Linked DNA regions of Saccharomyces cerevisiae S288C. The gene in region 4 interacts genetically with the main gene of each other region. Each region holds a gene or a part of one and is shown on either strand. Other genes may lie near its edges.

Region 1 (4,760 bases), on a different chromosome or scaffold from region 4:
ATATTCAGAATTGGCATGTATATTTACCACAAATCGAATTTGTTTACAACTCTACACCTACTAGAACACTTGGAAAATCACCATTTGAAATTGATTTAGGATATTTACCGAATACCCCTGCTATTAAGTCAGATGACGAAGTCAACGCAAGAAGTTTTACTGCCGTAGAACTTGCCAAACACCTCAAAGCCCTTACCATCCAAACGAAGGAACAGCTAGAACACGCTCAAATCGAAATGGAAACTAATAACAATCAAAGACGTAAACCCTTATTGTTAAACATAGGAGATCACGTATTAGTGCATAGAGATGCATACTTCAAGAAAGGTGCTTATATGAAAGTACAACAAATATACGTCGGACCATTTCGAGTTGTTAAGAAAATAAACGATAACGCCTACGAACTAGATTTAAACTCTCACAAGAAAAAGCACAGAGTTATTAATGTACAATTCCTGAAAAGTTTGTATACCGTCCAGACGCGTACCCAAAGAATAAACCAATCAGCTCCACTGAGAGAATTAAGAGAGCACACGAAGTTACTGCACTCATAGGAATAGATACTACACACAAAACTTACTTATGTCACATGCAAGACGTAGACCCAACACTTTCAGTAGAATACTCAGAAGCTGAATTTTGCCAAATTCCCGAAAGAACACGAAGATCAATATTAGCCAACTTTAGACAACTCTACGAAACACAAGACAACCCTGAGAGAGAGGAAGATGTTGTATCTCAAAATGAGATATGTCAGTATGACAATACGTCACCCTGAACGTTCATAAAACACATATGAAACAACCTTATAACAAAACGAACAACATGAGACAAAACCCGACCTTCCCTAGCTGAACTACCCAAAGTATAAATGCCTGAACAATTAGTTTAGATCCGAGATTCCGCGCTTCCACCACTTAGTATGATTCATATTTTATATAATATATAAGATAAGTAACATTCCGTGAATTAATCTGATAAACTGTTTTGACAACTGGTTACTTCCCTAAGACTGTTTATATTAGGATTGTCAAGACACTCCGGTATTACTCGAGCCCGTAATACAACAGAACATATGAAATATCTGGTCTCTTGGCCCAGTTGGTTAAGGCACCGTGCTAATAACGCGGGGATCAGCGGTTCGATCCCGCTAGAGACCATATTTTTTTGTACAAATCTCTTCTACTACTGCTAAGACAGTAAGTAAGAAATACGAGACTCCAACAATGTACTTTTTTTTTGCTTTGTACTGCTCTATCGATACAAAAAATCCCTATAAAATAAACATATATATGTTTGCTGCAATGAGAATGGAAAAAAAATTAAAAAAACTCACATATAATCTCAATAACGGCCATTTCTTTGGCTTTTGTTAGAAGATGATCGGCCCCTCTTATTCTTAGGACCCTTGGGGAAGTCGTCCCTATTATAGCTGAACTGGCTCGAATAATCGTTCGTTCTGTTGTTTTGGCTACTTCTGGGGAAATCTAAGGGGTGTGTCTGAACTCTTTTATTTTTCGTCACTTTGTAGTTCTGTGCGCTAAATGGTGACTTCTTCTTCCTGTTATTACTGCTTTCATATCTATTATTGCTACTATTTTTGTTCCTTGTTGACTGCACTTTGCCCTTCCATTTCATTTTATCTCTATAAGTCCTTGAGCCAGGGAGGTCGTATGCATCGTCGTTATATTCATAGTCAAGCAGGTTGAATTCATGTTCGTTATCAAAGTGTTGCCTTTGTGAAGCTTCACGTTTATAGTCTTTCAATTGGTTAAAATAGTGTTGTTTAAATTTTGTGGCTAAGTTATCACCGCAAAATGCACTTCCATCAGTGTTCGGCACTCTCGATGACCTTCTTTCAGCACAGTCATCGCCAAAATGACCGGCATTCCCACAGTTATAACAGAAAACTGTTTGAAAATCGAAGTCACCTTGGTTAGCATCTTTTGTTTTTAATAAATAAGATCTCCAAATACTAGGACATCTTTCTCTTGAGTGTCTTTTGCTATTGCAAAGCGTGCAGAACACCTTCTTCCATTTATGAGGACACTGTGATTTATAATGGCCGTTTGCATTACAATTAGTGCAAATAATAGCCTTAGGGCAGTGTTGTGAGTAATGATCATCCATAAACCCGCAGTAAGTACATATCACATGGGGACAATTCCTTTTCAAATGACCTCTTTGCGAACAATTATTACACTTTGGCTCTGCCTCCATTATCGCACCGTTTGAGTCATAATCTGTTATTCCAAAATACCGTCCTTGGCCACGTAAAGTCCTCAGTTCCTCTGGGTTAGCATCTACATCCTCTATGGAAGGAGCCAATAATTTATTAAATGATGACGAGTCACTTCCTGTCGGTGTTGTATCCTTCACATACGGCAAAGTATCGATACTTTCTACCTCAGATAACAATGTCGACATAATATCTTAGCTCCGTGGTCCGCTTCCTTTGTATTCCTCATGTGAGAATGTTGGACCTTTCCCACTCATCGCATCGCTAATTTTTAGTAATTTTTCATTTTTTCATGGACCAAGAAATTGAAAAGCCTGTCAATGAGCTTTAACAGTAGCAAGAAACAAAGACAAAGGACAAGCGCCTATGGAAGTCACTTTAGAAATATTGAAGTCACATTTTCATATAATATATAAATGAATTTACAGATGTGCCATTGTATATGCTGACGCAAACGCTTTCTTTTTACTGTTTAAATGACTCTTACCTTGTGATATGTATAAATCATCATATACGGCTATCTTGCTAAAAAATTTTTTTCGAGGAATTTTCACTTGAAAAAAATACTTGCGATGGCAACAAAAGAAAGTTAGATAAATCGTGCATTAAATGATGTGTCATCTGAAAGATTACAGGTTAACGAAAAATTAACAGCTAACAGAGCAAGAAAATAAAACGGAGATGAGTGCTAGTGAAGCAGGTGTCACTGAGCAAGTCAAAAAGCTGTCTGTCAAGGATAGTAGTAATGATGCCGTAAAACCAAATAAGAAAGAAAACAAAAAATCCAAGCAACAGTCCTTGTACTTGGATCCTGAACCAACTTTCATCGAGGAAAGAATTGAAATGTTTGACAGATTACAAAAGGAATACAATGATAAAGTTGCTTCTATGCCACGTGTTCCATTGAAGATTGTCTTGAAGGATGGAGCCGTTAAGGAAGCCACTTCTTGGGAAACCACTCCGATGGATATTGCCAAAGGAATTTCTAAATCTTTAGCAGACAGGTTATGTATTTCTAAGGTTAATGGTCAATTATGGGACTTAGATAGACCATTTGAAGGCGAAGCCAACGAAGAAATCAAATTAGAACTGCTAGATTTCGAATCTGACGAAGGTAAGAAGGTCTTTTGGCATTCGTCTGCCCACGTCTTGGGTGAATCTTGTGAGTGCCACCTAGGTGCCCATATTTGTTTAGGTCCTCCAACTGATGATGGGTTCTTTTATGAAATGGCTGTTAGAGATAGTATGAAAGATATATCTGAATCTCCAGAAAGAACCGTCTCCCAAGCTGATTTCCCAGGATTGGAAGGCGTTGCCAAGAATGTTATCAAGCAAAAGCAAAAATTTGAAAGATTGGTCATGTCCAAAGAAGATCTTTTGAAAATGTTTCATTATTCGAAGTATAAGACTTACTTGGTACAGACAAAGGTTCCAGATGGAGGTGCTACTACCGTCTACCGTTGCGGTAAATTGATTGATCTATGTGTCGGCCCTCATATCCCACATACTGGGCGTATCAAAGCTTTCAAACTATTAAAGAACTCTTCTTGTTATTTCTTAGGTGATGCGACAAACGACTCTTTACAAAGAGTTTACGGTATCTCTTTTCCAGACAAAAAATTAATGGATGCTCATTTGAAGTTCTTGGCGGAAGCCTCTATGAGAGATCACAGAAAGATTGGTAAAGAACAAGAATTATTCTTATTCAATGAAATGTCCCCAGGTTCTTGCTTTTGGTTACCTCATGGTACTAGAATTTACAACACTTTGGTTGACTTGTTGAGAACCGAATACCGTAAGAGAGGTTACGAAGAAGTCATCACTCCAAACATGTACAACTCCAAATTGTGGGAAACCTCAGGTCACTGGGCCAATTACAAGGAAAACATGTTTACTTTCGAAGTAGAGAAGGAAACTTTCGGTCTAAAACCAATGAACTGTCCAGGTCATTGTTTGATGTTCAAGTCTAGAGAACGTTCTTATAGAGAATTGCCATGGAGAGTTGCAGACTTCGGTGTTATCCACAGAAATGAATTTTCTGGTGCCTTGTCTGGTTTGACTCGTGTCAGAAGATTCCAACAAGATGATGCTCATATCTTCTGTACCCATGACCAAATTGAGTCTGAAATTGAAAATATTTTCAACTTTTTGCAATACATTTACGGCGTTTTTGGATTTGAATTTAAGATGGAATTGTCCACTAGACCAGAAAAGTACGTTGGAAAGATCGAAACCTGGGATGCCGCTGAATCAAAATTAGAATCTGCCTTAAAGAAATGGGGTGGTAACTGGGAGATCAATGCTGGTGATGGTGCTTTCTACGGTCCAAAGATTGACATTATGATTTCTGACGCTTTAAGAAGATGGCATCAATGTGCCACCATCCAATTAGATTTCCAATTGCCAAACAGGTTCGAATTGGAATTTAAATCTAAAGATCAAGATAGCGAGAGTTACGAAAGACCGGTCATGATCCATCGTGCCATTTTAGGGTCTGTTGAAAGAATGACTGCCATTTTGA
Region 2 (6,781 bases), on a different chromosome or scaffold from region 4:
CCGTATACCGTTCGTTCGCCCATTATTCTATCAGTTGCATTATTTTGGTATCACAAGCATTCTCAGTGGCCGAATTCATTAAAGTAAATGACGTTGTGAATATGATTAGAGTCTTCAAAAGATTTTTGGATATAAAAATTTTTTCCGAAAATGAGACCAATGAGCATGTCTTCAACAGCCAAAGCTTTAAAGACTATACAAGAGCTTTTTCTTTCCTGACAATCGTCACTCGTATCATGCTTTTGGCATACGGAGAGTCCTCTAGCACCAACCTCGATGTTATCTCCAAATATATTGATGAGAATGCGCCAGATTTAAAAGGTATAATAGAACTTGTCTTGGATACAAACTCTTGCGCTTATCGATTTTTATTAGAACCTGTTCAGAAGTCAGGATTCCATTTAACGGTCTCACAAATGTTGAAAAATAGAAAGTTTCAGGAACCACTAATGTCAAATGAAGATAATAAGCAGATGAAGCATAATTCGGGAAAAAATTTGAATCCGGATCTCCCAAGTCTTAAGACGGGCACTTCATGCTTACTAAATGGCATTGAATCGCCTCAATTGCCATTCAATGGTCGCTCAGCACCTTCCCCAGTGAGAAACAACTCACTACCGGAGTTTGCACAATTGCCTTCATTTAGGTCATTATCCGTGTCTGATATGATCAATCCCGATTACGCGCAACCAACAAATGGGCAAAATAATACGCAAGTCCAATCTAATAAACCAATCAATGCTCAGCAGCAAATACCCACTTCAGTACAAGTACCATTTATGAACACAAATGAAATCAATAACAACAACAACAACAACAACAACAATAAAAACAATATTAACAATATTAACAACAACAACAGTAACAATTTTTCTGCAACTAGTTTTAATTTGGGGACACTAGATGAATTTGTTAATAACGGTGATCTTGAGGACCTCTACAGTATCCTGTGGAGCGACGTTTATCCAGATAGTTAAACGTATACGTTTGTATAGATAAAAGTTCTCAAAAACTTCCTTCCTTTTTTTTTTCTTTTGAGTTTACTTATTTAAATAAGAACATTCTGTTTTCTAGGGCATCTCCTTCTCTTATTTCTTCAACACTATTTACCAGTATACCATAAAGTGAAAATTCCTATTTTTTTTGCTTTGGATATTCATTTGATCCTCAACGAAAAAAAAAATGATGTATTTTAGTATTGTACAAAAGATATTATATGAGGCTAACGTAAAAAAAGCTAAACTGAGGATATATGTATCAACTATGAATCTAAATGTAACATTCCGATGATTCTTTTACCATGAGGTGTATTTCTTATGGGGCCCACCAGTAAAGGCGCCACAATCTCTGATAGTCTTTTATAGAGATAGTCATTTTGCTTATGAGAAATGTCTAATGCTGTCTGTAAAACGTAATTTCCGTAGCTATCATTCAACAATGATTGAATACCCGTCTCGCCACCATTATTTAAAATTTCCAGAATCATTGGCTCCGAAACAATAGCTGTCTTCAAGATTTTTTCAATCACATTTGATCCAAATTTATGGATAGAAAGTTCGATGGCTCTTGGTTTCAACAGGTGGACAATTTTATGCGTATAATCATATTTGTTCTTCTCAGCCTCTTTGGTAATTATATATTGCACCACATAGTTGCCAAATGGATCCAAAGTTAATTTATCAACAAGGGCTAGCAACTTATCACACAGATTGTCACATTGTTCTGTAGTCCCATGATCTAGACAACGTTGCAAAACGCAACACCCGTGTCTATGAGTAGCAATATCAATACAGCTATCAGAGATTGCGTCAAAGATAAACTGGAAGTTTTCAGGCTTCAACCTTTGCAAACATTTTTGAATAACATGATTACCATTTAAATCCTTACTCAACTGGACAGTATAAGGGCGTAAAGAATCAACAACAATCTGTGCTTCTTCATCTGTTTTGATGCATTCAATGAGTTTTTGTAATGCCCTAGTACCATGAGGGTTTAAGGAAATTTCGACAAAATGAGGGGAAGATATTTTTGTGAGTACGATTCTTTGTTCTGTGGTAACCTCTTCCAATAGCTTCTGGATCAAATAATTACCGAATGAATCAGTCATCAATTCAACCGTATAATCCTTAGTTTCTTCAAAAATTGCGTCCGCCGCCTTACTGCCGAGAATATCCAACTGCTTTTGCAGAAAACGACAACCATGTTGGTCTTTACACAATGAGTGAATACTTCCGATATATTGGTCTAAAACTGCGTCCGCAAATCTCGACGACTCCTCAATTTTACGTTGTTTTTCCGCGCTGTTGCTGTTGGTAGCATTACTGTTATTATTATTATTGTTATTATTATTATTATTATTATTGTTATTATAGTAGCCATGATAACTGTTTTTCATATTTTTCATTTTACCAACGTTAGAACGACCTGTGTCTTTATTGTTGTAATTAGAATTACCAATGTTGTCATTGTCATTATGACTTGACATGCTATTGTTATTACGACCATGATGTTTATTATTGGCGCTATTCATTAACGGCATATGATTTTGAGCCAACAAATGAGGCGGAACCATTGCGTTGAAGGGAGGTGGAGTGCTATAAAGCCAGGGAGGAGGGGGGGTGTTTTGCTGGGGAGGTAATATGTGGAAAGGTTGCATTGATGGCCCAAGATTAGGATTTATTAAATCCATCCTAACATTTGGACCCGCCTTGTCGTTATCGGTGGTGGGCTTACCACCATCATTCTTCATATCTGAAAAGGCAACAGAATTTGAACTAGGGTTTAAAACTGGTGCAAGATGAATTGGCGATTGGGTTAGAGGAATTGGAGAATTTGCATTTAGTGAATGACTCGTAGGATTTAAAATCGGAGAGAAAGGTTGAAATTGCGCGCCCATTTCATAAGAATTAGGAAAAGGTGATCTAATACCATAGATAGGGGAGGATATATTATGTGGGTGGCCTGGCATAATAGGATTTGGTTGAAGTAAAGGTCCCCCATATGGATATGCTGCACCATAAGTTGTAGGACTCTCTTTTTTAGCTGGTGCAGTTTTATTAATCAAATCCTCCTTCGAGGTTTCTATTTTGAAATCGGATAATTTCTCAGAAACACTATTGGTTGGGGGTATAAATGACGTTGAGGAGGGAGTATTATCAAAAGATATGGATTGAGTTCTGGTTTTTGCAGTATTGTTAGCTCCTACAGACGGTTTCTTAGCCTTAGAAAAATTCTGCATGTCAGATTGGAAGTCCTTTGACAAGGTTACATTGTTGGCCGCATTGATAAGGTCAGTTGGTGATAAAGCATGAAAAGTTTGTCTTCTGAACGAACTAGCCTTATTATTAGACTCCCTGCCCTTAGATGGTAGGCTTTCTTGTAGAGTAGCGGTGGTTTCTTCAATGGCTACAGATGCTGATCCTGGTACGTTTGAATGAGTCCATAACGGATCAGCCGATGCGATTGGCAATACCTTCATTGAATTGTCATTTATCAATGGGTTTAGATTTTGTCCACCTTGAGTTGCTACCGCAGCACCCGAAGACAGCATTTGAAATGGAAGTGAGTCATTCTTGAATAACATTGGTGGACCGCCTGCATTCAAGGGCGAGCTACTCAATGGTGCTGTTGGATCATTAAAATCAGGGGGCGGAAAAAATGGACAAGGATTATGAGGAACCTGCATCATTTGAGAGTAGGGCATGAAGCCCATTCCACCCATCATTTGTGGATGTGGAAACATTTGCGACGGAGGGCCATTAGCGAATTGAGAATCTTGAGAAACTTTATTCGCAAATGCATTAGAGGTGGCGTTTTCCTCTGGATCATCTAGTTGCAACTGCTCTAAAGCAGAATTGACTGTTTCTGAAACGACAGGGTCTACTGATGGTACATCATCGATTTCTTCTTTCAAACCTTTTGTAGACATAACGTAGGTCCACTTAAAAATGTTACAGCGCTTAGTTCTCTCTTTCTTAAAAGATATCGAGGACAAAGAAACAGTAAGAACGGAAAATGAACAGAGACTCTTAAAAGAACCTAAAGAATAAGCGAAAATAAAATATGAAAAGAGAACTAGTGGACAATATCAACAGGAATTTTAAGTGTACTAAAAATAAATCGTCTGGAATAGTGTACAAAAACGAATAATATTAATGACGGCTCAAATCCTAACGTTGGAAACTAAAATACAATAAAAATAATGTACAATGTAATATACGGAAGAAAGTTTTTTTTCTGTTTCAACAAAAAAAAAAACTATTCAAAAAAAAGACGTGAGGTACTGTTTGCTGTTCACCTTCGGAGAGAGATAACCAACCGATATTCTCTTTGAGTCTGAGTGATTTGTTAAACAAGGTGCAACGAATAAGAATATAACTATACTATCTACTATATTGATCATTATTTTTTATTCTCTGGAGGACCCCAGAACAAAAAAAATATAGAAAAAAAACAATCGTCAAGAGTGACAAATACATGAGTAATAAGAAAAGGCGTCACAAATTAAAATTTGCAGTCACAAAGAGAAATAGACAGAGAATAGACTGTCTGGAATTAAGATGTCTTTTCTATCTGAGCTCCCAACAAGGCAACGGTATTGGACAGATATAATTCACAAATCACAATTCACTCCATGGAAGACACGATACGTCCATTAAATTACGCAGATATCGAGACCAGCGGGCCCATAAACCTTCTTGAGACAACTAATAACCTAAAAAGCTCGTTAAAAAAGTTTTCACAAAAGGCAAAGGGATCACACATTTCCAGAGAAAGGATTCACCATTTTAGAAAATGGAAAAATAAGACCGAATCACTTTCAGAAAACCATTTGAAGCCTCCTCCTGACGTCGACTCTCTATGTTTCAGTAACTGCTTTCAACCTGACGCCCTGTCTGGAAATGTATTTTTACCCCCCAGAAGCTCAAACATGTATTGGAATGAAAAGCAATTACAATTAGAAATGGAAATTCTAAAATTTTTATCACTAAATACTAGCAATGAATGCTGCACTTCTGATGATTAGCTTTTACACACATATATACTGCTACTATCTTTAAAGCACAAAAAAAAAATCTATCAAAAAGGATCAACGCATTACTAAATAAAATGTAACAAAGAATAGCCTTCACCCTCAGCGGAGAAATTCTTAACAAATCATCCTTGGTAATTTGGAAGTGTGGTACAATCCAACCACCACTGCAAAATAACATTTCCAGCTGCTCTGCTTCCTCTCGTAATAAGTAATTTATTAATAAATTTTTCATGACCTGCAGGATTGTTACATATTTGGGGCAAAACAGCAACGAGCCACTCTCTTGCTTCAATTGGAAACTTGGCTACCAAAGCTCTTAGCAGATCTGTGTAACTATTCAGATCGGACCTTTGTGTGTGGAATAAGCCATACATAATTTGGTACACAAGGTCTCCTCCTATAGAGGAAACTTGTTGCCTAACAGTTGTGAGTTCTTCTTGGTTGTATTTCTTATTATTGATCAACTTAGTCCAAAATTTTGCCACCGCAACAATTGTGAACTTTTCTCTTGAAGGTATTAATTTTAAAAATTGAGGTAAAATAAATGATGTCCAATGTTTACTGCCAATAGCTAAGCCTGGCTTCACGTCCAAAACGTTATTAACAAAACCTATTGTCATTTGTAAAAGGTCCGGATCATTGATAATATATGCATCATAATAGACTAGAAGGATCTTTTCAAACATGAAATCAAATTCTTGTGGTGTTAGTTCCTTCCTGAACTCTGAAATAAGCTTTTCTAATAAATAAACAAAATAAGGCAAGCAAGTAGCAAGCTCACAGTTGGGGACATGCCGCAAAACAAAATTCATAACTTCAGACATATTGTACTTGAGGAAGTACGGTTCCCCGTCGGGCAGATTTAATCCTTTACCAACAATCAAACAACCGATCTCCACAAAGGCGGAGTTTTTACAATATATTGAATTATCCAAGACCTTATCAATGGTGCACATAATTTTCGATCGGATTTGTAAGGGATCGCTGGACCAGAAACTTTGAAACTCAGATAACCTTTGTAGTAATGCATCATTTTCGATGATTTCAGTAGGTTGGATCAAACTTGTTGCTAGCTCAGATATACAGTATAATAGACAATTAATATAATCTTGTTGTTCTTGTAACTGTACCGATGAAGCCAAACAATGCTCTATTGAGCCGCTCAATAGGTTCGTCAATTGTAAAATATATTTAGCTTGCTCCTCTGGACCGTTGGAGACTTGACATTGAACGACATAACCTATAGATCTAACCAATTTAGTTCTAGTGAAATGTGAAACATTGGAGTCTGGCATAATGACTGTGTTTAAAAAGCTTATAAAATGCATCAAATATGGAGTCAACTCCTCACGGCATGTCTCACATAATGTTGAAACAGTCTTGATAACCATAACTTCAAGTTTATCGTTCGAAATTTTTTCTTGTTCGTTTTTACTAGTAAAATTGGTGCAAGTGTGCAAACCTTGAAATAAAGCTTCCACGTATGGGTTTAATTGAAAAGGTTCCTGTTTAAAATAACCAGCCAAAGTGCCGATTAAAGTTGTACTTGTTCTTACGAAGTCAAGTTTCAAAATTTGACTGACTTTTGTACTGGCACTAGTTTGGAAACCAGTTTGGAAGACGGATATGACATTTTGGTTGAAGAATTTGTTGGCATCAACGATATTTTTAATCCATGGGCTTTCTGATAGAGTCATATCAACCAATATAGTATTCAAAACAAAACACATCGTTTCAATTCGAAAC
Region 3 (4,729 bases), on a different chromosome or scaffold from region 4:
CCTTTTTCTCCCACTTTATATCGTTTTGTAATATGGAACGTAATGACTTAGAGTCGGCTATAAACAAATTCAAAGATCTGTCGCTTACCGGATCTAGTTTTTTCCATTTCTCTAACTGTCTGTTGATGTTCTCATGCGAGTCTCTCTGATTTTGTTTCTTAGCATATTCCAACTTTGTTATCATTGCCTTTCGTAGATTGCCCCAATTGACTATCTTGCTTGGCCTTTCATATTTCAGAATGGCTCTTATGAGTCCTCTATATGTGCGTAATGTTCTTGGTCTATCCATTTCCCTGGCACTCTCTCTTTCTCTCTCTTTTCAGCTTTTTGTTATCCACTTATCGCTGCAAATGAAACTCTAGTGCAATTTGAGATATTCACTTTTTGCAAAGGCGAAGAGAAGGGGGTGGTTAAATCTACAATTTCATACATAAAACAGAGAAAATGATTATAAATTATAGGAAAGTAGGTAAGCCATGGCAGAGAAATCAATATTTAATGAGCCTGATGTGGATTTCCATTTGAAATTAAATCAACAATTATTTCATATTCCTTATGAACTACTGTCCAAACGTATCAAGCATACTCAAGCGGTAATTAATAAGGAAACCAAATCACTACATGAACACACGGCCGCATTAAATCAAATATTTGAACATAATGACGTTGAGCACGACGAGTTGGCACTAGCAAAAATAACTGAAATGATTAGGAAAGTTGACCATATAGAAAGATTTTTAAATACGCAAATCAAGTCCTACTGTCAGATTTTGAACAGAATTAAAAAAAGGCTGGAGTTTTTCCACGAACTGAAGGACATCAAGTCACAAAATTCAGGAACATCGCACAATGGAAATAATGAGGGTACCAGGACTAAATTGATACAGTGGTATCAGAGTTATACAAACATTTTAATTGGTGATTATCTGACGAGGAATAACCCGATTAAATACAACTCGGAGACAAAGGATCATTGGAACTCTGGCGTAGTGTTTTTGAAACAGAGCCAACTGGATGATCTCATTGATTATGATGTCCTCTTGGAGGCTAATAGAATTTCGACTTCGTTACTACATGAGCGTAATCTCTTACCCCTAATTTCATGGATAAACGAGAACAAAAAGACACTGACCAAAAAGTCCTCTATATTAGAGTTTCAAGCAAGATTGCAAGAATATATTGAACTACTAAAGGTGGATAACTATACCGACGCTATAGTATGTTTTCAAAGATTCCTTTTACCATTCGTTAAGAGCAACTTCACCGATTTAAAATTAGCATCTGGACTTCTGATTTTTATCAAATACTGTAATGATCAAAAGCCAACTTCTTCTACCAGCTCTGGATTCGATACTGAAGAGATTAAGTCTCAAAGTTTACCAATGAAGAAAGATCGAATATTTCAACATTTTTTTCACAAATCTTTACCTAGAATTACCTCCAAACCTGCGGTGAATACAACAGACTATGACAAGAGTTCCTTAATAAATTTACAAAGTGGAGATTTCGAAAGATATCTGAATTTATTAGATGATCAAAGATGGTCGGTATTAAATGATTTATTCTTGAGCGACTTTTATTCCATGTATGGCATATCACAAAATGACCCTTTATTGATATACCTGTCACTAGGTATATCGTCTTTGAAGACAAGAGATTGCCTGCACCCTTCTGACGATGAAAATGGAAATCAAGAGACGGAAACTGCCACAACAGCAGAGAAAGAAGTTGAAGATTTACAACTCTTTACGCTACATTCACTAAAAAGGAAAAATTGTCCCGTTTGCAGTGAGACTTTCAAACCAATAACACAGGCATTACCATTTGCTCATCACATTCAGTCTCAATTATTTGAAAATCCAATACTATTACCAAATGGAAATGTTTACGACAGTAAAAAATTGAAGAAATTGGCCAAAACATTGAAAAAGCAAAACTTAATTTCTTTAAATCCAGGTCAAATTATGGATCCAGTTGACATGAAAATATTTTGCGAATCAGATTCTATCAAAATGTACCCAACCTGAAATAGTTTCAAGCTATATGCATTTTTTTATATAAAGATTTGTCCAACTTTCACAACTATTTTACAGATACTTACGCTATATAAGAATTAGGGAAAATGAAAGTTCTTTCATCAACATGGCGACATTCTTCCTTCTGTACTTAGTCTGAATCAGAATCTGTGTCTTTTTTGCTTTTACGGTTATGTTTTGAACTATTCGAGACATATTTACTAAAGATGTAGAACCTAGCATCACGTTCTTTCGCAGGTTTTGTAGTATCTTGTTCGCTATTCGTTCTCCGGTGATGATATCCTGGAAAATTTTCCCATTGGAATTTGCTCGATCTGCTCAGAGTTAGTCCATTTTTTTTGGCTAAAAGTTTGATTTGCCATGAATCATAGGGCTCTCCATCGAAAAGGGACAGTATGATGTTACCATAACCTTCGGCGGTCAATTTTTTAGCCTGGGGAGTATCCTCATTAAGATCATAGCCTTGCGTATAACGAAGAGTATCATTTTGAATTTTCGTGTTTATAAGATTAAATAATTGTAAGGAATTTTGGAAAAAGTTAAAAATTAAGTCCTGATGCTCTCTAATATTTCTTTCTTGATCCTTAATACCTTTTCCATTATGGGGAAAATTGAAAACTATATTTTGTAAAGGTTTGTTACCCCAACGATGATCGCTAAGCCTGTTGATTATTTTAAACCAAGTATTATTTTTGGAAATTTTAAAGCTCTTTACGAGCTTCGTAACGTCAATCTGGAAAAATATCGGAATATTTAGATCTTTTAAGTACTGGTAATTTTCCTCAAAAGTATGCGGATATTTCAATTTCAGCTCATTCACAGAATTATCGTAACTTGTTATGATTAAATTGTCACTTTCAATATAGTTTTGTTCAACAATGGATCTGGCAAAAGAAAAATCTCCTTCACCACATAGCATCAAAGTTTCATCCTTCTCAAAGGGCATAACCTTCCCTTGATTAAGTTTTTGGAATTCTTGGTTTCTCTTCACGGTTTTGTTATTAGCGCTCGAATTTTTCTTTCTTAGTTCATGTTTTTGCTTACTTTCAATATTCCTCACTAATTTCACTTTGGCCTTGTGCCTTAATAATGCACCTTTTAGGCCTTTACTCCCAATCTTACCCTTCAATTTCCTGGCCATTGATAATTTTAGGTTATGATTGGTGTTAATCTATGATTTTAACGTTACTAAACGTTGTCAGGCTCCAATGAATTTAAGTAATGGAAGGTTTTCTTTTAAGCTCATCGCATCGCCAATTCTTTTCTTTTTTTTTTTTTTTTTCCGAATAATTTACATTCTTTCTACAGGAGAAAAATATGGGAGCCAGCTTGAAATACTAAAATCATTAATAATACTGATGTACATGATCCAATAACAAGATCAACTACGACTTTTGTTATTACTGATTCAGAAGGAAAAAAAAATTGACTTCCAAGAAGTCATAAAAATAAGTGGTCTCTAGCGGGATCGAACCGCTGATCCCCGCGTTATTAGCACGGTGCCTTAACCAACTGGGCCAAGAGACCAGGAATTTGTTGAAGTATTTCATGTAAATTTAATATTAGTACTGATAGAGATTTCCGATATATATGATCGCTCTCAATTATTTTATATCAAGTAAATGTCAATGTCGTTAGTTTGCACTAGCTGTTACTATTTATTCTTAGTAAAGGTTTTTAAAAAAAACTGTAATTATAACCAGGCAGGCGTATGCAGAGCGAAGGTCTTGGAAAAAGAAAAATATAGAACAGTACATTTAGGAAACGCTAAAAAAGTCACCAAGCAGGCAGGTCACAGGCTCCACTTGAACATAAGTTAGTTCGCTAATACAGGTTGAATTTCCATTGTGGGATAGTTTATTATCTTCAGCGAAAAAAATCTTTTTTGATTGAAGTGTTGATCAAGATTATTTGTAACCTCCTATCTTTAGTTGAACTGATCCAAAAACAATGAATACTCCACAGATTAGTCTGTATGAACCCGGGACAATATTAACTGTGGGATCTCATCATGCTAAGATTATCAAATACCTTACGAGTGGTGGATTCGCACAAGTATATACTGCCGAAATTTCCCCTCCTGACCCATATAGCAATGCTAACATAGCATGCTTGAAAAGAGTCATTGTCCCCCATAAACAGGGTTTAAATACCTTGAGAGCTGAAGTGGATGCTATGAAACTCCTTAGAAATAATAAGCATGTTGTTTCTTACATAGATTCACATGCTGCAAGGTCTGTAAATGGTATAGCATATGAGGTGTTTGTGTTAATGGAATTTTGTGAACGTGGAGGTCTTATAGATTTTATGAACACCAGATTACAAAATAGATTACAAGAATCTGAAATATTAGAAATTATGAGTCAAACCGTCCAAGGTATAACTGCAATGCACGCTCTGCAGCCGCCATTGATTCATAGAGATATTAAGATTGAGAATGTACTTATTTCTCATGATGGCTTGTATAAAGTTTGTGATTTTGGTTCCGTTTCCGGTGTGATAAGGCCACCTAGAAATACTCAAGAGTTTAATTATGTTCAACACGACATCCTAACAAATACTACAGCTCAGTATAGATCACCTGAAATGATTGACCTGTACAGAGGGTTACCTATCGACGAAAAATCTGATATTTGGGCTCTTGGTGTCTTTCTTTACAAAATATGTTACTATACTACGCCGTTTGAAAAAAG
Region 4 (5,791 bases):
ATATCTTATTCGCTGCAGCTGAAAGAGACATATTTTGCACTATTTCTTTTATGTTTCAGTTTCACTGTTCGATTTATTACACCAAAGAAACCACCAGGAATGAATGATAGCAAAAGATGCAATGGTTTTCAGTAGCGCAGTACGTTCGATCGAAATAAAGGACTTAAGGTTTTGATCTTATTAGCAGCAGAAGCAAATAACTGGCAACGCTAATACATGTACAAGGCTCAGGCTAGAAGGTTCTTTCAAATTATGTGTCTCGAATCAGACTCTCCTGCACGTTCCATACTATGTTTCTATCATGCCAGAGATGAAAAATTTCGTCATCTTACCGGCTCGAGAAAATTTCCATATCGGGAAACTATCCTTTTTTGGTGGCTCTATATTTCCGGAAAGGGAAAATACCCACGCGTTTGATATCATTAGCTTATTGTTTCACTTGGACATCGATGTGGTATTCTTGTATAAATAGTAAATAGTCTATAAGAGTCTATATTGTGTTAAAGAGCCTGGCCTTTAGAGAGCCAGTAGTCCCTTCTCGTTTGAGCATCTACTGTCTTAGTTTCCAGTGGTGATTTCTCATCTTGTCCCGAAGGGGTATCTCTTCCTTTTTGATCTTGATCGGATTCTTGATCATTCTCAGAAAGTCCCATCAAGTCATCTATGCTGAGGTTGTTTTGGTGTAGGAGAGAGCCCTGATCAGTTTTTTTCACTTTGCGTTTCAATTTGCTTCTGCTCACTCCAAAATCCGGAGGTGGAGATGGAATGGCACTCTTTTTGATTTCCCCTTCTCTCTTATCCTTTTTTGCCTTCTGTTTCTTCTTTGCAGGTTCGTCAAGTTTGTAGATCTCCTCTACTGGCAAGTCTTCGGTGTCGTTTATAAATAAATCTTCTTGAACTATCCTCGTGCGCCTCTTGTGGTAGCGCTCGTTTTCAATGATGGCTTTATTCTGCACTAAATCTCTTTCGTCGTTGAAATCTCTCTTTTGCCCACGGTATTTGATCACGTTTCCGAGTATACTTTTTCCAACGCGGTCTTTGAATGTAGCAGAATTCAATTCCCAGCATTTATTGACCAACAGTTCGAAGGCACCAGCAAAGGCCTTTTTTATATCCTTCATATTAAAGGAGCCTCTGCTTATATTATTGTTAGGATCACCAGGATCTTGAATAGCTAGCGAGAATTTACTCCTTGAAGGTTCCAAAGTTCTCCAACACGATTTAGGAATATAAGAGGCGTAACCATCAGATATGCTTATAGCAACGTCATCATAACCAAAATTTTTTCCGTAAAGTTCGAAGAAGTCAATCAGTAGAACACCCAGGTTATCTAGAACGTCGATATCGTTTGATTTTATTCGCGGATGCATATTTAAAAAAGAATAAACCAAACAGATTACTGTGAAACCTCCCAATCCTCCTGTGTGCACATTGTTCAATCGTCTTGAATGCAAAAATTGTTTTATTATCAGTACCAGTTCACGTAACCCTGGAGAGTCTCTTAGCCATTCCCTGATGAGTTTTGCAGCCTCTAACCCGTTCGTTCTTTCAAATGAAACGTCGATATGTAACTGTGATTGGGGCTCTATGAATTTGATAATAGGCACTCGCGTTTTAACAATAACCTCCATTCTTATAGCTAGCCCTTTGTTTTTCAAATGTCTCGCCAATTCATAAATGTAATTTCTGTCCTCTTTATCGCGATTCCGGCTGTTTACGACACAGTCAATGTCAGAACCCGGCAAATATAAATCGGTGGCAAAAGAACCAAACACATGCAAATCTGCATCCGACCACAGTTCCTTGACCGCCCGGCGTAGTTTATCGATCGTTCTATTTCTGCACTTGATTTCGTTCTTGCTTGGAGAGATATAATGAACGAAATCTTTGATTTCTGAAGTTAGCCAATCTGCTATTCTCCTTTGTTTCGAATGACAATGATTTCTTATCCAAGGATACTCCACATTGCAAGCGCTTTCAGTGTTCAGAGATTGCTGTGAAGTAAGCTTAGAAACTTCATGTTCATCGGTCAACAGAAAACTGCTTCTTTCATCATCATCTTCCTTTATTTGTTCTGTTTCATCTTCAGAGCTGTCCGAAAAAGCAATAAAATCTTGATTATCTTCGAGAGAATTGTTTCTTTTGCTAGATTCTGCCCTTTGTTCATCTTCACTTGATGTGACTTCTTCTATTACAGGTATGTCGACATCACTTTTATCATTTTCCATTAAGACTAGGTTTCCGAAAGTGTCATCGTCTTCAACGTCGATAGCGAGGCTCTCGTACTTGTTAAAATGCGAGCGATTATCGTTAAATACTTCAAGCATTTTTTGCGTTCTTGTGAAGGATGATTTACGCATACGTTTTGTATGTTTATCTTCTTTTCTTTTACCTTTTGTAGGTGAATATTTTGCTTTGAGCCTTGTCATGACGACCCAATAAACTCCGCCCTCGTTTGTTTATTTGAAAAATAAAAAATGATACGCTAGTGAAACGAACCAGCTTAACCTTGTGAACTGTTATTACAGATGTTTGCTTTCATCAAGTATCGCTTTATTACCTTTTTACAACTTTTTTTTTTTTAACTGCGATGAGATGAGATGCCTGGAAATTTGCGGGGGGTAACCACAAGAAAATAAATGTAACATATCGTTGAATTAGTATGTAGTTATGAGTTTATACAATGGTCTAGTAAGGTGCCTTCTGCGTCCTTATCGAAAGGAACTTTAGGAGAATGAAGCAGACGTTCCTTTATTAAGTATGACCAAGGAGTCCTTGCTTCGAAGCTAGCGAATCTGGTAACTGAGGGAAAATACATATCATGTAGATAAAAAAATGTGAAATTAATGAAATGAAGCGGAATATCCTTCCTAGTTTAAGTTGTCCATGCAACTTATAACAAAGCAAAGGCAGCAGCACCCATGATGGCACCCATACCCGCAACGGAGCCTTTAACGGCAGCGCCGACGTATGTGCTGATCTCATGGGTGGTGGTGTTAGCTTGGCTACTGATAGATTTAGTGGATAGAGTGGCAATGGTACTTGTAGTGTATGGAGTGGAAGTAGTTTTCACGGTGGAGACCATAGATGTAGTACTTTGTGGGGTGGTGGTAACATCTACGTAAGTGACACCATCAGAGGTGGAATCTGCGGAAGCAAATGCGGCAATGGCAGCAACGGTGGAGAGAGTAGAGAATTTCATTGTATTTTGATATTGATATTAAAGGAAGGTAAAAAGTTGGTTTAAAATTAGCCGAAGGCAGGGATAAGGAAGGAATGCAGTTGGTTTTCTATGGACTACTCTTTTAAATGATATATGTACCAATAAAGATGGAGTAGGCGTAATAACAAAGTTTCAAGGCCATATATAGCGCCTTATATATACACATGCATGTATTTATCACGAATTTTATTTTCCTCGAGAATCACCACCGTTCATTACAAGACTATACCAGAAGACGCCAAAATCAGACAGAATTGATCTGGCGGTGCCTTATTCGGAAGTACAAGATCAGTATCAATGTAGTGACTCTGCTACATTTCGTGTCAGGATCTTCACCTTTTGGCGACTGCTAATGGCTATATATACCGTCATTTTCGCGTCACTTCTTTGTGCTTCCTGCTTTTTCGTGACGCGCGGTTTTGAAAACATAGACAAGTTTTTGGCGTCGTTGTTAATTTCGAAGAGGATGTCCAATATTTTTTTTAAGGAATAAGGATACTTCAAGACTAGATTCCCCCCTGCATTCCCATCAGAACCGTAAACCTTGGCGCTTTCCTTGGGAAGTATTCAAGAAGTGCCTTGTCCGGTTTCTGTGGCTCACAAACCAGCGCGCCCGATATGGCTTTCTTTTCACTTATGAATGTACCAGTACGGGACAATTAGAACGCTCCTGTAACAATCTCTTTGCAAATGTGGGGTTACATTCTAACCATGTCACACTGCTGACGAAATTCAAAGTAAAAAAAAATGGGACCACGTCTTGAGAACGATAGATTTTCTTTATTTTACATTGAACAGTCGTTGTCTCAGCGCGCTTTATGTTTTCATTCATACTTCATATTATAAAATAACAAAAGAAGAATTTCATATTCACGCCCAAGAAATCAGGCTGCTTTCCAAATGCAATTGACACTTCATTAGCCATCACACAAAACTCTTTCTTGCTGGAGCTTCTTTTAAAAAAGACCTCAGTACACCAAACACGTTACCCGACCTCGTTATTTTACGACAACTATGATAAAATTCTGAAGAAAAAATAAAAAAATTTTCATACTTCTTGCTTTTATTTAAACCATTGAATGATTTCTTTTGAACAAAACTACCTGTTTCACCAAAGGAAATAGAAAGAAAAAATCAATTAGAAGAAAACAAAAAACAAAATGGGTATTGATCACACTTCCAAGCAACACAAAAGATCCGGTCATAGAACCGCTCCAAAATCCGATAACGTCTATTTGAAATTATTGGTCAAACTATACACTTTCCTAGCTCGTATGTATTGAAATCTCCCTCCCAATTTTCTTCAGGATAAAAGGATTCTGTGATATTATTAACTTCTAGTCCCGGCGATCTTCTAATGGCTTCAGTCTTAGTATCGTTGCGTGCGACGGATCTCTTAGACAAAAGTGGAATTTGTTCTCTTTTGTGTTAAAGATTTCCACTAGAACAGAAAGCGGTAGTTTTCTGGAAATTCTGCGAGTACTAAAGGAAGTACAATACGACCTTCAAGTGCGGACCAACTATTAACTGAGCAGAATCTTTTTTCTTCAAAGAGAAAAACAAATTGGTACTTTTTCGTTTTGCACTCTTTTTGGCTTCAATTAATGGAAGAAATTAAAAGCTGCCTATCGAGAATACCAACAAATCCTTTATCCCTTTACTAACATAACGTAAAAACTTTTGTTTTTCTTGTCTTAATCACAGGTCGTACTGATGCTCCATTCAACAAGGTTGTTTTGAAGGCTTTGTTCTTGTCTAAGATCAACAGACCACCTGTTTCAGTCTCCAGAATTGCTAGAGCTTTGAAGCAAGAAGGTGCTGCCAACAAGACTGTTGTCGTTGTTGGTACCGTTACTGACGATGCCAGGATCTTCGAATTCCCAAAGACCACTGTTGCTGCTTTGAGATTCACTGCTGGTGCCAGAGCCAAGATCGTTAAGGCTGGCGGTGAATGTATCACTTTAGATCAATTAGCTGTCAGAGCTCCTAAGGGTCAAAACACTTTGATCTTGAGAGGTCCAAGAAACTCCAGAGAAGCGGTCAGACACTTCGGTATGGGTCCACACAAGGGTAAGGCTCCAAGAATCTTGTCCACCGGTAGAAAGTTCGAAAGAGCTAGAGGTAGAAGAAGATCTAAGGGTTTCAAGGTGTAATCTAGTATGGTTTGAAACCTTACAATTTTTCTTCTTTGTTCCTTTTTCCTTGTTTCAGTGTATATTAGGTTGGGAAAGAGGGATTTTTCCATACCATATGACTGACTACAATATATACATGTATAATAACTTCATAATCTAAACCTATCAGTTCAGTATCAAGTCAGCTATTCCGCCCTATGCATAAACCTACAAACTATCATTCACACACTTTTCCCATTTTTTTTCAATACTACTTTACATCCGAACATTTTAGCAACCCACACCATATACCTTTGGTGCACTATTGATTTTCTTCCTGATGTCAGCTTTTTGTGCTTTGACAAAAAAATCGCGTCTACGTCCGTCCGTTCTCCCTGAATAAATTAGGCGCGTTTGAGCCCAGCAGGACGGAGCTCTAGTGACAAGCCCTGGT

What was found.
Region 1: mutations in TRF5 (region 4) and AIR1 together harm fitness more than expected from each alone (negative genetic interaction), as found in Saccharomyces cerevisiae (3 studies listed by BioGRID).
Region 2: mutations in TRF5 (region 4) and PUF4 together harm fitness more than expected from each alone (negative genetic interaction), as found in Saccharomyces cerevisiae (3 studies listed by BioGRID).
Region 3: mutations in TRF5 (region 4) and BMT5 together harm fitness more than expected from each alone (negative genetic interaction), as found in Saccharomyces cerevisiae (2 studies listed by BioGRID).

The regions. Positions count from the first base shown.
Region 1 is NC_001141.2:209,579-214,338, forward strand, and holds AIR1 (TRAMP complex RNA-binding subunit), read right to left. Parts: upstream 2,428-4,760; coding exon 1,345-2,427; downstream 1-1,344. Other genes in the region: threonine--tRNA ligase THS1, read left to right, coding at 2,921-4,760. UniProt on the Saccharomyces cerevisiae protein: Component of the TRAMP (TRF4) and TRAMP5 complexes which have a poly(A) RNA polymerase activity and are involved in a post-transcriptional quality control mechanism limiting inappropriate expression of genetic information.
Region 2 is NC_001139.9:463,288-470,068, reverse strand, and holds PUF4 (Puf4p), read right to left. Parts: upstream 3,929-6,781; coding exon 1,262-3,928; downstream 1-1,261. Other genes in the region: drug-responsive transcription factor PDR1, read left to right, coding at 1-977; BIL2 (Bil2p), read left to right, coding at 4,634-5,026; KAP122 (Kap122p), read right to left, coding at 5,158-6,781. UniProt on the Saccharomyces cerevisiae protein: Is not essential for haploid growth, but may affect diploid formation.
Region 3 is NC_001141.2:179,951-184,679, forward strand, and holds BMT5 (25S rRNA (uracil2634-N3)-methyltransferase), read right to left. Parts: upstream 3,178-4,729; coding exon 2,167-3,177; downstream 1-2,166. Other genes in the region: FMC1 (Fmc1p), read right to left, coding at 1-289; glucose-induced degradation complex subunit FYV10, read left to right, coding at 477-2,027; serine/threonine protein kinase PRK1, read left to right, coding at 3,987-4,729. UniProt on the Saccharomyces cerevisiae protein: S-adenosyl-L-methionine-dependent methyltransferase that specifically methylates the N(3) position of uridine 2634 (m3U2634) in 25S rRNA.
Region 4 is NC_001146.8:63,155-68,945, reverse strand, and holds TRF5 (non-canonical poly(A) polymerase TRF5), read right to left. Parts: upstream 2,430-5,791; coding exon 501-2,429; downstream 1-500. Other genes in the region: serine/threonine protein kinase CLA4, read right to left, coding at 1-31; TOS6 (Tos6p), read right to left, coding at 2,894-3,202; 60S ribosomal protein eL18 RPL18B, read left to right, coding at 4,384-4,495, 4,928-5,376. UniProt on the Saccharomyces cerevisiae protein: Catalytic subunit of the TRAMP5 complex which has a poly(A) RNA polymerase activity and is involved in a post-transcriptional quality control mechanism limiting inappropriate expression of genetic information.